Linked DNA regions of Coturnix japonica. The protein of the gene in region 2 purifies or fractionates together with the protein of the main gene of each other region. This does not show direct contact. Links are inferred from orthologs where the notes say so. Each region holds a gene or a part of one and is shown on either strand. Other genes may lie near its edges. The genes, in order: C1QBP, LSM14A and EIF4ENIF1.

Region 1 (4,047 bases), on a different chromosome or scaffold from region 2:
ACCCACTACACTCAGGACTATTAAGTATTGCCCTGGAATCAACAGGGAGGTTGATCAATAGTCACAAAGTATTCTGCCTCTTCTCGTTGTTCTGTCCTTGGCTGCCTTCAAGCTGAAATAAGAGGCAGCTCTTTAATGCATGGCTGCATGGTGCGGGAGCATCTCCTGCTCTGCCACTGGGGCTGACTCAGACCTTGAGGCATCACCTGGACGCAGCAGGTTGAGTAGAAGCCCAAATCTGCTGCTCTGCAATGCTGCTGATGTTCAGCATCCACAGGACTTGAATTACTGCAAGGAAAGAGCTCCAACTTGTCTGCAGTATTTTTCTAGAGCAGATGCGTTGATACTAACAGGTACAGATGGACTAGATTGGGCTAGAATAGCCCTGGAGAAAAACTGGCCTAACACTGCCCAGCTCTGCAGGCAGCTGCATTAACTTCTCAGGTCAGGGAACACACAGATATCCCTTATGGCAACTGATCAACATGAAGAAAAAAACAACTACTTTTCAGGGAGTTTTGAACACATTTTATTATTCACCTTCATTCCTAATGGTACAAAATGCAGCAGGGGGAGGCAGGTCCAGACAGTCCTGTTTGAGAACCTGAGCTGGGCTGCAACGTAGCATAAATACAAGTGAGGCCCCTCACTGTCCCGTGATGCTCAATTCCCAATTCAGTTACTCCATCTCTGTTGTGAAGATACGTTGTGGTTCTGCTGGTGGAGCACTGCTGTGTAATGCCCACACTGAACGCTGCTTTCCTTCCCTACTGACATTTAACAAAGCTTTTAAGGTCTTCAAGGAATTTAATGTACTCCTGATGCTCCAGCGCAGTGCTGAGCTCAATTAACTCATCAGCAAACGTGTTATCCACTCCTCGGTCAGCCAGGAAATCCATTAAGTGATCATACAGAGCCTGCAACAAGGAACAGAAAACAGCCTTAGCAGAGCACAGCTTCAAATCCTACTTAACTACTGCAATACAATTAGGCTTGTGGGCTCCCCCCTTGTTCCTCATAGAGCTGGTGCTCCTGCTTGGTGCCAATAGCTGCCATATCACCTCCAACAGGGTGAGCAAATGATTCATGATGGAATAGGAGTACAATGTAAATCAGCAGCACTTACCCAGTCGAGGGAATCCGTATTGAGGGTGTAGTTGGTGTCCTTCCAATCTGATTCCCCGGTGGGCTGGAAGCTGACCTCCCTAATGGTGAAGATGTCACTTTCTTCCTCTCCCTCGTGGCCAACCTGAAATAGGAAATGAGGCACAGGATGTATTAGCTGTAATTAGAGGGAACCATCAGCTGCTTCATCCTGCAGGTGGGAACACAACCCCCTTAATGCCACACATTGAGCTGATCAGAAGGTCAGGACATGAGCAGAAAGAAACCCATCCCATCAGTTTCCTTACAGAGATAAAACCTGTGTGAGGAGAAAAGAAGGAGGCAGCATTTTGTGCAGACACAGGAACCCAGAGCACAGCTCACCTCATCCTCGGGGTAATGGCAGTCAAGCACGAGGGTCTGCTTTGTATCATCCTTAATGACTTCCACAACAAAGTTTGGAGTCGATGTGATATCGGGCTGAAGGAGAGAAGCAGCCGATCAGTGCTGAGGGCTGAGCAGGAGCCAGCACAGCCACGAGGTGCCCGCAGTGCTCAGCAGGGGGTGGGATGGTCCATGGGGGTCTCCCAGGGCCGTCCTGCTCTGTGTGTTCCCACTCCCAAAATCAGACTGAGCACACGGCGGCCCTTTGTGGTCCCCTGGCTCTGTGCTGTGCTCACCTCCTCCTGCTCCTCGTGTTTCTGCTCCTCCGGCGCGTCCTCATCCACAGCGGGCGGGATGCTGTTGTTGATGTTGAAGGTAACCGTGATCCTGCACAAAGGACACGAGTTAAACCATCACAGCCGGGAAGGCCCCGCTCGCATCGCTCCCGTTCGTTATTTCATTGCTCACTTTTCCCCGGCGACTTTGCGCACCAGCCTCGCCTCGGTGCCGTGCACCTCCAGCTCCCACCCGCCCGACACTTTGGGCAGCGCTTTGTGCTTCTGGATCTTCCGCTCCTCCTGGATCTCATCCGTCAGGAACTGAGCGAACGCTTTGTCCCCTGCGGGGAGAGAGAAACCGCTCAGCACCGGCACCACCCCCCGCATCCACCCCCACCTCCATCACCACGTGCGGCTCCGTCCCGACTCACCCTCCGTGTGCAGCCCGCCGCAGCCGCAGGACACGCCGCCCGCAGTTCCCCGGCGCGGTCTGAGCAGCGCCGCCCTCCAGCCAACAACAACATCGCTCCGCTGCCACAGGGAACGAGCCGGGAGCGGCTGCGGGACGGACCAGAGCGAGCGGAGCGGGGACAGAGCGGGGCGGAACGAGGCGGCGGAACGAAGGGCTCGAGCGAGCAGCATGGCGAGAAACGGGACGAGGAGGAGGAGAATGACCCGGACGGGATCGGGGCGCTTCCGGAGCTCCGCCCCCGGTAATAAGGGGAGGGAACGAGATACAACGCGGAGTGACCTTGGGGGAGAGACCAGAAGGTTCCAAAGGAGGAGCCGGGCGGGGGGAGCCGCGCTGAGCAGCGCTCCGAGCGGACAGATGAGGCACCTCCATTCTGACAGTGAAACAGCACTTTGATTTTGCTCCTTGTATGTAGAAATTTATTTATTTGTCTTTATTTTCCATCGGTAAAACCTGCCCGGAACACAAACTGAACCATCAACAAATAGAGAGTTTGCTGCAGGAGCTGCTGGGCTCGTTTCCTTCCAGCCCCATCCATTACAGCTCAATGTTAAACACCAGCACAAAGCAGGTCCCGTTTTACACAGCAGCTCTTAACACCACGATGGTTCAAAGCCACAGGTTGCCATGAGTGCTGCCTCTCACAGAGAAGCCATTTTCCTCCCAGTTTTACACCTGTTTGCGATGCAAAACCCCGCTGTCCCTGCACAGATCACAGCCCAGCCCTGCACTGAGCCCTGCACTGAGCCCTGCATTGAGCCCTGCACCGAGCCCTGCATTGAGCCCTGCACTGAGCCCTGCACTGAGCCCTGTATTGAGCCCTGCAGCCCCACTCAGTTCTTGGCTGCTCTGAGTTTCCTGCGGAAATAGTCAGGTGCTGCATCATACAACCAGTCCGCGTCCACCACGCACAGGTCCCGCATGTAGCACTTGTTGGTGTGCAGCAGCCCGTTGTAAACCACGCAGCAGGGTTTGCAGTGGAACAGCACGGACGAGGGGTGGATGGCCACGGGCTGGTGGGAGCTGACGGTGCTGTAGGTGCCGTCCGGCTGCAGCTCGGCCGCGTTCATGAAGAGGCTGTGAGCCAAACAGCGGCGGATGTTGGAGGTGTCGGAGCGGGACGACTCCATGGGCAGCGATAACTGCAGGGACACAGACACGAGGCAGCAGGTCACAGCGTGCAGCACAGACACGGGCATCCCAACACATCTAACACTGCGAGCACAGCTGAGCCAGGAAGCACAGAGCACTTCCCTGCACTCCCTTTGACAGCCTCAATCCATAAGACAGGGACCATAAGCCCTACAGCACTGAAGCACTGCCCCAGCTCCACTTGCAGGCTCTAAGAATCCCTCCTGCTTGTGTGAAGGCAGAGACGGGCTGTGCCTGGGTTGGATCCATGCCCTGCAGGGAAACCCGGCACACTCCTAAAGCTCCAATGGCACTGAGCCCATCCTACACACCCTCCATCATCAGGGGCCTGGATGAGCTGGAGGCCACAGCAGCAGGTGTCTGCATCTCTGCATCACTGCAATGCAACACAACACTCACTGCCATTTGTTATTTGTTCCAATTGTATCAACCTGCGCTTGTCTGAAGGTGGGCAGCTGTTCCCACAGTGTTCTCATGCTGAAGAACAAGTGTGTGCACACCAGTGGGGGAACAGCCCCCTGCAATGGGCTGCTGAGAGCAGGCAAGGTTATGTCCTAAATGCAGCTGGCCTGGATAACACATTTTCTTGCTCCTTGATTTCTTGCAAAGGAAATAAATGAGGGGAGAAACAGAAGAAATAGAGAAATGCAGTACGAC
Region 2 (3,649 bases):
TGAGTTAAAGGAATATAGGAACTCTAAAAAAATGTTGAGACTGATAATGGAAGGCAGCGCATCTTTTCACAAATTGCTTGAGTCTATTACTATTTATAAATAAAAACTCCAATTTAAAGTATTGCATTACACAACTGTTTCAGGCTTTTATATAGTATTGATGCACATGTTTCCTTTGGATTTGTAGTTTTCAGAATGTAGTGTTTAGTCACAAAATAAACCCCTTTCATTCTCAATTTTCAAATTAAATTAGTTTGAAATGTCCTTTCAGTTCTGTATTTTTATTTTTTTAAAAACAATCATTGGATCCAGACTTTTGGAGTGGGCTGACAGGGAACCACAAGGTCATGTTTTCTTTCTGAAAAGTGGTTCTGCCCTGCCTGTGAGCAGTTGTATCATGTAATCATGGCTGGGTTTTGTTTATCTCATATGTTGCAGTGTTAAGAAAGTAGTTGTTATCTTTCAAGCTGGTAATACGTATCTTTCTATTTCAAGACACTGACTTAGAAAGAGATTTTTAACGTAGGTAAGTAAGCTATGTAAGAACAACCAGGCTTTGTTCCCTGACAGCTGGGTAACTGGGGAATCCTTAGGGATGTGAATATGATGAAATGAGATGCTATCTTCCTGCTGTAATGCATCAGTTTTCACTTATCAGCTACTGGGACTTTGTATGGAGTTGCGTTGGGCCATTATAATTAATAGATACTAAATTCATGCTTCATTAATAAGCAGTTAGTATTCCGGTGTTTTCAGCTGGCTGTGATAGTATTATCCATAGTTTGATGACACGTGCAAGAGCAAACTGTGCTTTGCAAAATGTAGAAGAGTGAGAGGAAATGAAAATAAGTGCATTAAAAATGTCATCTTGTAAGATTTAAACGGACTGGTAAATCCATTCAAAAAAGCAGTCATATATTGAAACTTATTTTGACTAACTTCAACATTACTACTACATAGCATACTTTAATACGTCTTACTGTATTATTGCTACTTCATTATCCAATGTGATCATTGTAACTTCCCCTGTCAGTCAGCAGAAAATCCAACACCTGAAAAAATACTTCACTAATGAATTTGTGTATTCTACTTGCAAAAAAGGGCTCTGTTCTTCTGCAAAGTGAATTATTGCAAACATGTAATTAATCAGTCTTTGCATACAGCACTCAGACAGTCTTACCAGCCTTACTTTGTGTGTATCATGTAAATACTGAAGTCAGCCTTTCTTCTCTTTTAAGGGGTCTGTGGTATGTTTGATGACCGATGGAAGGCTATCATTACCAGAACAAGTCATTGCAATTATCTCTACCCAAAATTTCACCAGTTTTTCTCTGTAGCATACTTGGATGGCTGCACACCATTAATGCAGTAAGATTAATGTGAAGGAGTCAGCTTATAGTGGGCTCATACCCATTGGAACATTAACTCAGTCTGCATTCTTGTACTCATAGGAGCATTAACAGGGAGACAAGATATGGGGGAGGTAGCCATGAGTGGGTTTCATTTTGCACACACAGTTGATCTTGGCACAGATAAACCTCATAACGTGTGTGCAGTTTGTTCCTTAACTGACCCTGAAAAACAACTTCTTAAAAACTTAATAAAATCTACCCCTTTCCTTTTCTGTGCTCTCCTGTACTAAAGGAAATGCTCAGGTCTTTGCAGGAGTTTAAGCTTTTACTGGCTTCGTTTAGCAAATTAATATTTGTAGAAGTCTAAAAGAATCATAGAATTGCTCAGGTTGGAAAAGACCTTAAAGTTCATCAAGTCCAACTGCAACCTAACCATAATACCCCAACTAGCAACTCAGCTAAATTGTGATCCTGAGCACCACATCCGAAGGTTTTTAAGCACATTCAGGGACGGTGACTCAACTACCTCCCTGGGGAGCCTATTTCAGTGCTTAACAACCCTTTCAGTAAGTAAGGTTTTCCTGATACCCAACCTAAACACTCCCCCCCCCCCCCCCCTGCATCTGTCTTTTGACAGCTTGTAAACACTGTAGTAGTGTTCAGAGCAGGCTTCCAGTTGTGTAGGAATAGGGAAGTTCAGTGTAGTAGATATGAGTATCAGCTAGTAGTTAGAACCATTTAGTGTTGTTTCTCACTAGTTTGTTACAGTGCAAAAAAGGTTCTTAAAAAGCTAATACAAAGAGCTGCAAGGAATTACTGCAGCTGCTGCATGTTGATGCTCAGTAGAATTTGATTGATGCTTTATTCTTAATTTCTTTCAATTCACTGATTACTTTTTGCTTATGAAGCTCCAGCTTTTGTAGACACGTCTTTTGTTCCATGTTGTTTTCAGCAAGGATTGTCACACAAGGTGTGGAAGGGCCTTGAAGAAAGTAGCAATGTGATGCTCTATTCACGTATGCATGTGGTGTTTAGTGGGAAGGGAAAAGCATGATGAGCATCATTACATAATCTGGACGTTGTTGGAAGTCAGCTAAGTACATATAAATATATGTAACTTGTCAGTATGCTGCACACTGCATTGTTACGCTTAGGAAGATAATCCTGCCAAATTAAGTTAACTTAATTTGCTGAAAATCATGTGAAATTTACACCAACAAGCAAAATACCTTCTGCTTCGTGAAAATTGTCTACACATACTACAGACAGCCTAACTTTGACTTGAAATATTCATTCAGATCTTGAATCTACTGAGAAAAAGTTTGCTTTTGGTCATCTTTCATATCTTCATTTCTGGTATTTCTGGCATGATTTTTTTATTATTATTTTTTTTCCCAGTTTGTAAATACGTAACATGAAGTACAAACTCATATAGTCCTTAATTTACGGGACTGGTTTACCAGCCTTTGTTGCTACATGGCATCTCTGCTGATAAAATTAATGTCCAGAGAGTGGTAACACAAGCAAAAACCACTTTGTTGCTTCCCCTCGGTTTCACTAAGCAGTGGAAATATTCAGCCCATGGCCGTGCAACCTGTGCTTTAGTAAAGAACCAAAGAGGCACCTTTCTGCTTCAATTTGAACTGAGATTTGCAAGATCAAATTCCTTGTTTATGTCTGAGTAGTTAATAAAGTTAGAAAAGAGTATGCTGCCTATATAAGTGTTGTGCTCAATAAAATCTTACTCTTTCTATTTAAAATTGGTGGTCTCTGCGGTATATTTGAAATGTTAATTAAATGCGGGATGGTTTCCATTTTTGCAGTTCGTTCCTTTGGTACAGAAGATAGACCAACGGACAGACCTATACCGCCTCGAGATGAAGTCTTTGAGTATATTATATTCCGTGGTAGTGATATTAAAGACTTAACTGTCTGTGAGCCACCAAAGCCTCAGTGCTCTTTGCCGCAGGACCCTGCTATTGTTCAGGTAAGTCAAAATATATTTTATGCATTTGATGCTTAAGATATAACATAGCAGATTTGAGTGCTCTCTAGCTGAGAGTGCTTAAAAAATCAGATCTTTGTTGAAGTTCACAAACCAGTGTAAAGAACCATTAAATGATTTTTTTTCCTCTTCTGAATCATGTTCTTAACTATGGTAAAATCAGGGTTGAAGTCTATCTCTAGCACAGCTCACTGGACACAGAAGTTAACACATTTGTAATGACTAGCTGGTTGATAAGGCAAAAATCTTCATTATTCCTTGCAGATTACACCTGCGGTCCTCTGAGATCTTC
Region 3 (3,649 bases), on a different chromosome or scaffold from region 2:
TCGCACAATTGGTACGTGGGGAACAAGGGGTACTTGATGAACAGGACGGAGGAAAGGGCCTCCTGGCACTGGGGAGGCCATTGTAGGAGTCTTTCTGCCCGCTGATTTAGGCCTGTAGTCTTGCTCTTTGGTGCAACGATTTGCTTGAGTAAGAGGCGTGGAACATGCAGAGCGCTGCAGTGCAGGTAGTTTGGTACCTAAGGTGGGCAAAGTTTCTTGATCTGCATTCTCCACAGAACTAGACAGTAGATTATCTGTAGCTAGAATTGAATACAACTATTATAGTCCACAGCTAAAGATTACATCTAATGAAAATTAAAGGTAATGACTTTTAATGGCTAAGTTCCAGGAATAGCTGAACTTTACTCATATTTATGTATTTAATAGGAGACTTCTGGCTTTCCTGAATGACTGTAAGCTACCTCTCTGTTATTAATAGTATTGAAGTACAACTGAACAAGTCTTACTGGGTAAATCGGTATTAAGCATTTCTTCTTAATAGCCACTTATGTCAGTTAAGGTGACAAAACACTTCCTTAACCAGCTACATTTAGAAGAGGTTAACTGGTCTCAGCTTTAATTGTTCAGTTAAGATGTTGCAGGAGGGCTATAAGTTGCTTTTATTATTGCCAGTATTGTATGCAGTTATTATTGTTAATATGTTTATTCATAAAAAAAAAAGCTGTAAATAAGCACTTTTTGTTCAGGCCTCCTATGGTCAGTACCATTTACAAACAAGAACAATATAGGTCTGAACCCAACACTGCTGGAATAGTACACTCAGGTGTGTACCTACTTCATAGCTCTCTAACCCTTCTTATAGATCCATTTTTTACACTTGTCTGCACTCCATTAATCAGAGGTATCTTAAGTCAGCCTGGACATATGTGTTATAGCTGTTCAACTCTATTCCGAGTCTCACGTATGTTAGGTTAAAGCCATTACAATACCTTCATTTGGCCTCTGATTTTCATCTTTACCATCACTGACTTTCAGTTTCCCAGAAACTGGCTCCTCTTTGCTCTTCTCCTTACTCTCATACATCTTGCGAATCACTGAGGTAGGTGTAAAGGAAGGAGACAGCTGCAGAAAACACAATAAAAAGTAGTTAGTGCTAATTACCAGAGAGCCACACTACCTTAGTTGTGGGTAGACACCAATTCTAGTACACTCTTTCCATTTGAAGCTCTGTTTGATCAGTTACTTAATTCACCGATTACTTTGGTTCACAATATTTCATCACTTCATTCTGTAGCTCTTCTCCCTTTTTGTCACAGTTTTTGATCTTTGGTTCTTATGGAGCTAGTTGAAACCTTACTTGTATTAACTCATGGATAACAAATCTACAGAAAATTGCCTTAACTGTATTTCTTCCCATCACAAGTTATAGCATTTGTGGAAGCCACTTATTTGTTACATATACAAAGTTCTTGCATCTGTTTAGCAGCTGACAACTTATACTGGCCCTGAACTGCAAGCACTTGACTGATTAATTGGAAAGCTTAGATCAAAGCAAAATACTACTGAAGATGGGGAGGCAGCAGTCATATTTGAGGCTTTTGTTTTTCAAAAATGTATTTCAGCTTTCAGACATTTAGATGTGTCATTTCATACCTGTGCTGTAGACTAGTGTTTTCTACAGTGCCCAGCAACTTTCAACCCTTGTTTCTTGGAAGCCTGGGCATCAAAATACAAGGGCCTGCTCTTTCCATATAGTTATCTTCCTTTTGTTTGAGAAGACTGGGTCAAGGAAACACTGATGGGGCTTTCTCAGTTTTGGGTAACACACTAATTGGAAAAGGCTATTTTTCAAAGTGAAGACAATCAGTTAAGCATCAGGTGCAATTAATCCTTGTACTGACATTACAGTATTGCCCTTATGATTCAATCAACTCCTCTTTACATCCTTCAGCTGACAATAGTTGCTATGATCTTGTTACTGCTGCTACCTTTACAGCTCTCTCTACAGTCATTATGTATTAGGGGTACTGACCATGCTAGTAATGGATGCTGTAGGGGCTGGAGAAGATGTATTCCCTCTGTGTCCCGGTGCAGGTGATTTAGTCACTCGCTGTTGTCTGTTGAAGGACAGGAAGTTAGTTCTACTCATGGCTCAGAATAAAAGTCAAGATTGCCAATAAATGATGCAAGCTTAAGTCACAATAGTACCAATATTTTCTGAAAGAAAAAACCCAAGTGAAAAACAATTGACAATATGCCTTTTATGTTTTGCAGTCAGATACCTACCTGTTTCTATAGCCATCTCTGTTTTTGTCCATCTGTGGTTTACCAAAGCCATGCTGATAGAAGTTTGCTGCCTGTATGGCTAAGTCATGTGGCAACGCTAGTCCCTCTAATGCAGCTTGTTGTATTTCCAGGGAACTCATCTGAAGTGGAGTTGTGTTGGAAAAGAAAACAGCACAAATCAAAGGTCTTTTTAAAAAGACAAAGATTTACTGCTGTGTCTTCACAAAGCATCTGCCCACCAACAGCCCTCTATTTTACTGAGGGACAATAGATGCTTAATAGCTCTTAACATACCATAAGACGGGTCTAATGAGGTTTTGAGACTGTACTAAATTAGACGCCACATTCTCATATTTAGAGTTAACTGGAACAAGCATGTAATACATGTTTACTCAATACACTTCCACAAGTTTTTTTCTGGACTCCAAAATACAAGGAGAAAGATTAAGCAAATTTAACGTGTAAGCAAAAAGCACTTAAGTCTAACCTGTGCAGCAACTGGGCTCATGGGCTTCCTCACACCTGGAAATGGATCACCAAGCAATTGCTGAGAACCTTGTCCAAAACCTAATGAAAAACATTAAACAGTTGCATCTAACACTTTTCCTTCCAGTATATGACATATAACTTTAAGTAAACCATTTAGACCTGAATTAAGGATTCCCCGTGAAGATTCTCAGCTTCCCATTTAGTCAGTTCCCAAGCAAAAGATAACCTCCTTCCTAAACCCACTCCTCTTCCTTTTTATTGCTAAGCATTTCATGGCACGGAGCAACTCTTCGGTTAATTCAGGTCATCTGCCTAGCTGTGCCCCTCAGTCTAATCACTGGGGCTGCAGAATGTGAAACAGACAAGGCCTCAACACTGCGCAAGCACTGTTCGGCAGTAGCTACAGCAGCATTCTATCAGCTTGTTAGATATCTAGAACCCAGCACCGTGCCAGCTGCTATAAAGAGAATAAACCCTTACCCAGATGCAAATTAGCTTCTTATGTAGTAGACCACATTTCAATGCACCAGCAGAATTTACTCTGAGTTCCAGCTGATGCTGACTTGTACATTTTTGTGATTAAACAGAGACCAACAAGGATGATATGTTGTACACAGTCAAGAGGCAAACACTGTCCTACCACTGCCTACCGTCAGTAAGCTTACTGTTCTATGAAGCGTTCTTTAAAAGAGAGTGTACTCATTCAAATAAGCCAAAAGAAACACTGTTTTGCAACAAGCCATACCAATAGGTGAAGATATTCTATGGCGCAGGTAATCTGCAGAAGCAGCTCGAGTTGGAAACACAGGTGGGATAGGGGGAGAGGGCGCCCTCTGTCCCAGTAAAGGGGCTCCAGGTTCCAAGCCACTTATCAGGCCACTTAGGACATTTGATGAAGCAGGTCTGGTAACAG

What was found.
Region 1: the proteins of LSM14A (region 2) and C1QBP purify together in Homo sapiens (affinity purification with mass spectrometry; 3 studies listed by BioGRID and IntAct, with this or other methods). This does not show direct contact. The link is inferred for Coturnix japonica from reciprocal best matches to the Homo sapiens genes LSM14A and C1QBP.
Region 3: the proteins of LSM14A (region 2) and EIF4ENIF1 purify together in Homo sapiens (affinity purification with mass spectrometry; 3 studies listed by BioGRID and IntAct, with this or other methods). This does not show direct contact. The link is inferred for Coturnix japonica from reciprocal best matches to the Homo sapiens genes LSM14A and EIF4ENIF1.

What each region holds. Positions count from the first base shown.
Region 1 is NC_029534.1:2,454,033-2,458,079, reverse strand, and holds C1QBP (complement component 1 Q subcomponent-binding protein, mitochondrial), read right to left. Parts: upstream 2,457-4,047; 5' UTR 2,409-2,456; coding exon 2,198-2,408; intron 2,108-2,197; coding exon 1,957-2,107; intron 1,876-1,956; coding exon 1,785-1,875; intron 1,585-1,784; coding exon 1,489-1,584; intron 1,250-1,488; coding exon 1,127-1,249; intron 918-1,126; coding exon 768-917; 3' UTR 506-767; downstream 1-505. Other genes in the region: ATP-dependent RNA helicase DHX33, read right to left, coding at 3,072-3,380.
Region 2 is NC_029526.1:9,453,731-9,457,379, forward strand, and holds part of LSM14A (protein LSM14 homolog A), read left to right. Parts: intron 1-3,140; exon of another isoform or gene 3,141-3,156; coding exon of another isoform or gene 3,157-3,175; coding exon 3,176-3,339; intron 3,340-3,649. UniProt on the Homo sapiens protein: Essential for formation of P-bodies, cytoplasmic structures that provide storage sites for translationally inactive mRNAs and protect them from degradation. Acts as a repressor of mRNA translation. May play a role in mitotic spindle assembly.
Region 3 is NC_029530.1:7,960,342-7,963,990, reverse strand, and holds part of EIF4ENIF1 (eukaryotic translation initiation factor 4E transporter), read right to left. Parts: coding exon 3,482-3,649; intron 2,815-3,481; coding exon 2,735-2,814; intron 2,388-2,734; coding exon 2,248-2,387; intron 2,079-2,247; coding exon 1,994-2,078; intron 1,084-1,993; coding exon 951-1,083; intron 261-950; coding exon 1-260. UniProt on the Homo sapiens protein: EIF4E-binding protein that regulates translation and stability of mRNAs in processing bodies (P-bodies). Plays a key role in P-bodies to coordinate the storage of translationally inactive mRNAs in the cytoplasm and prevent their degradation.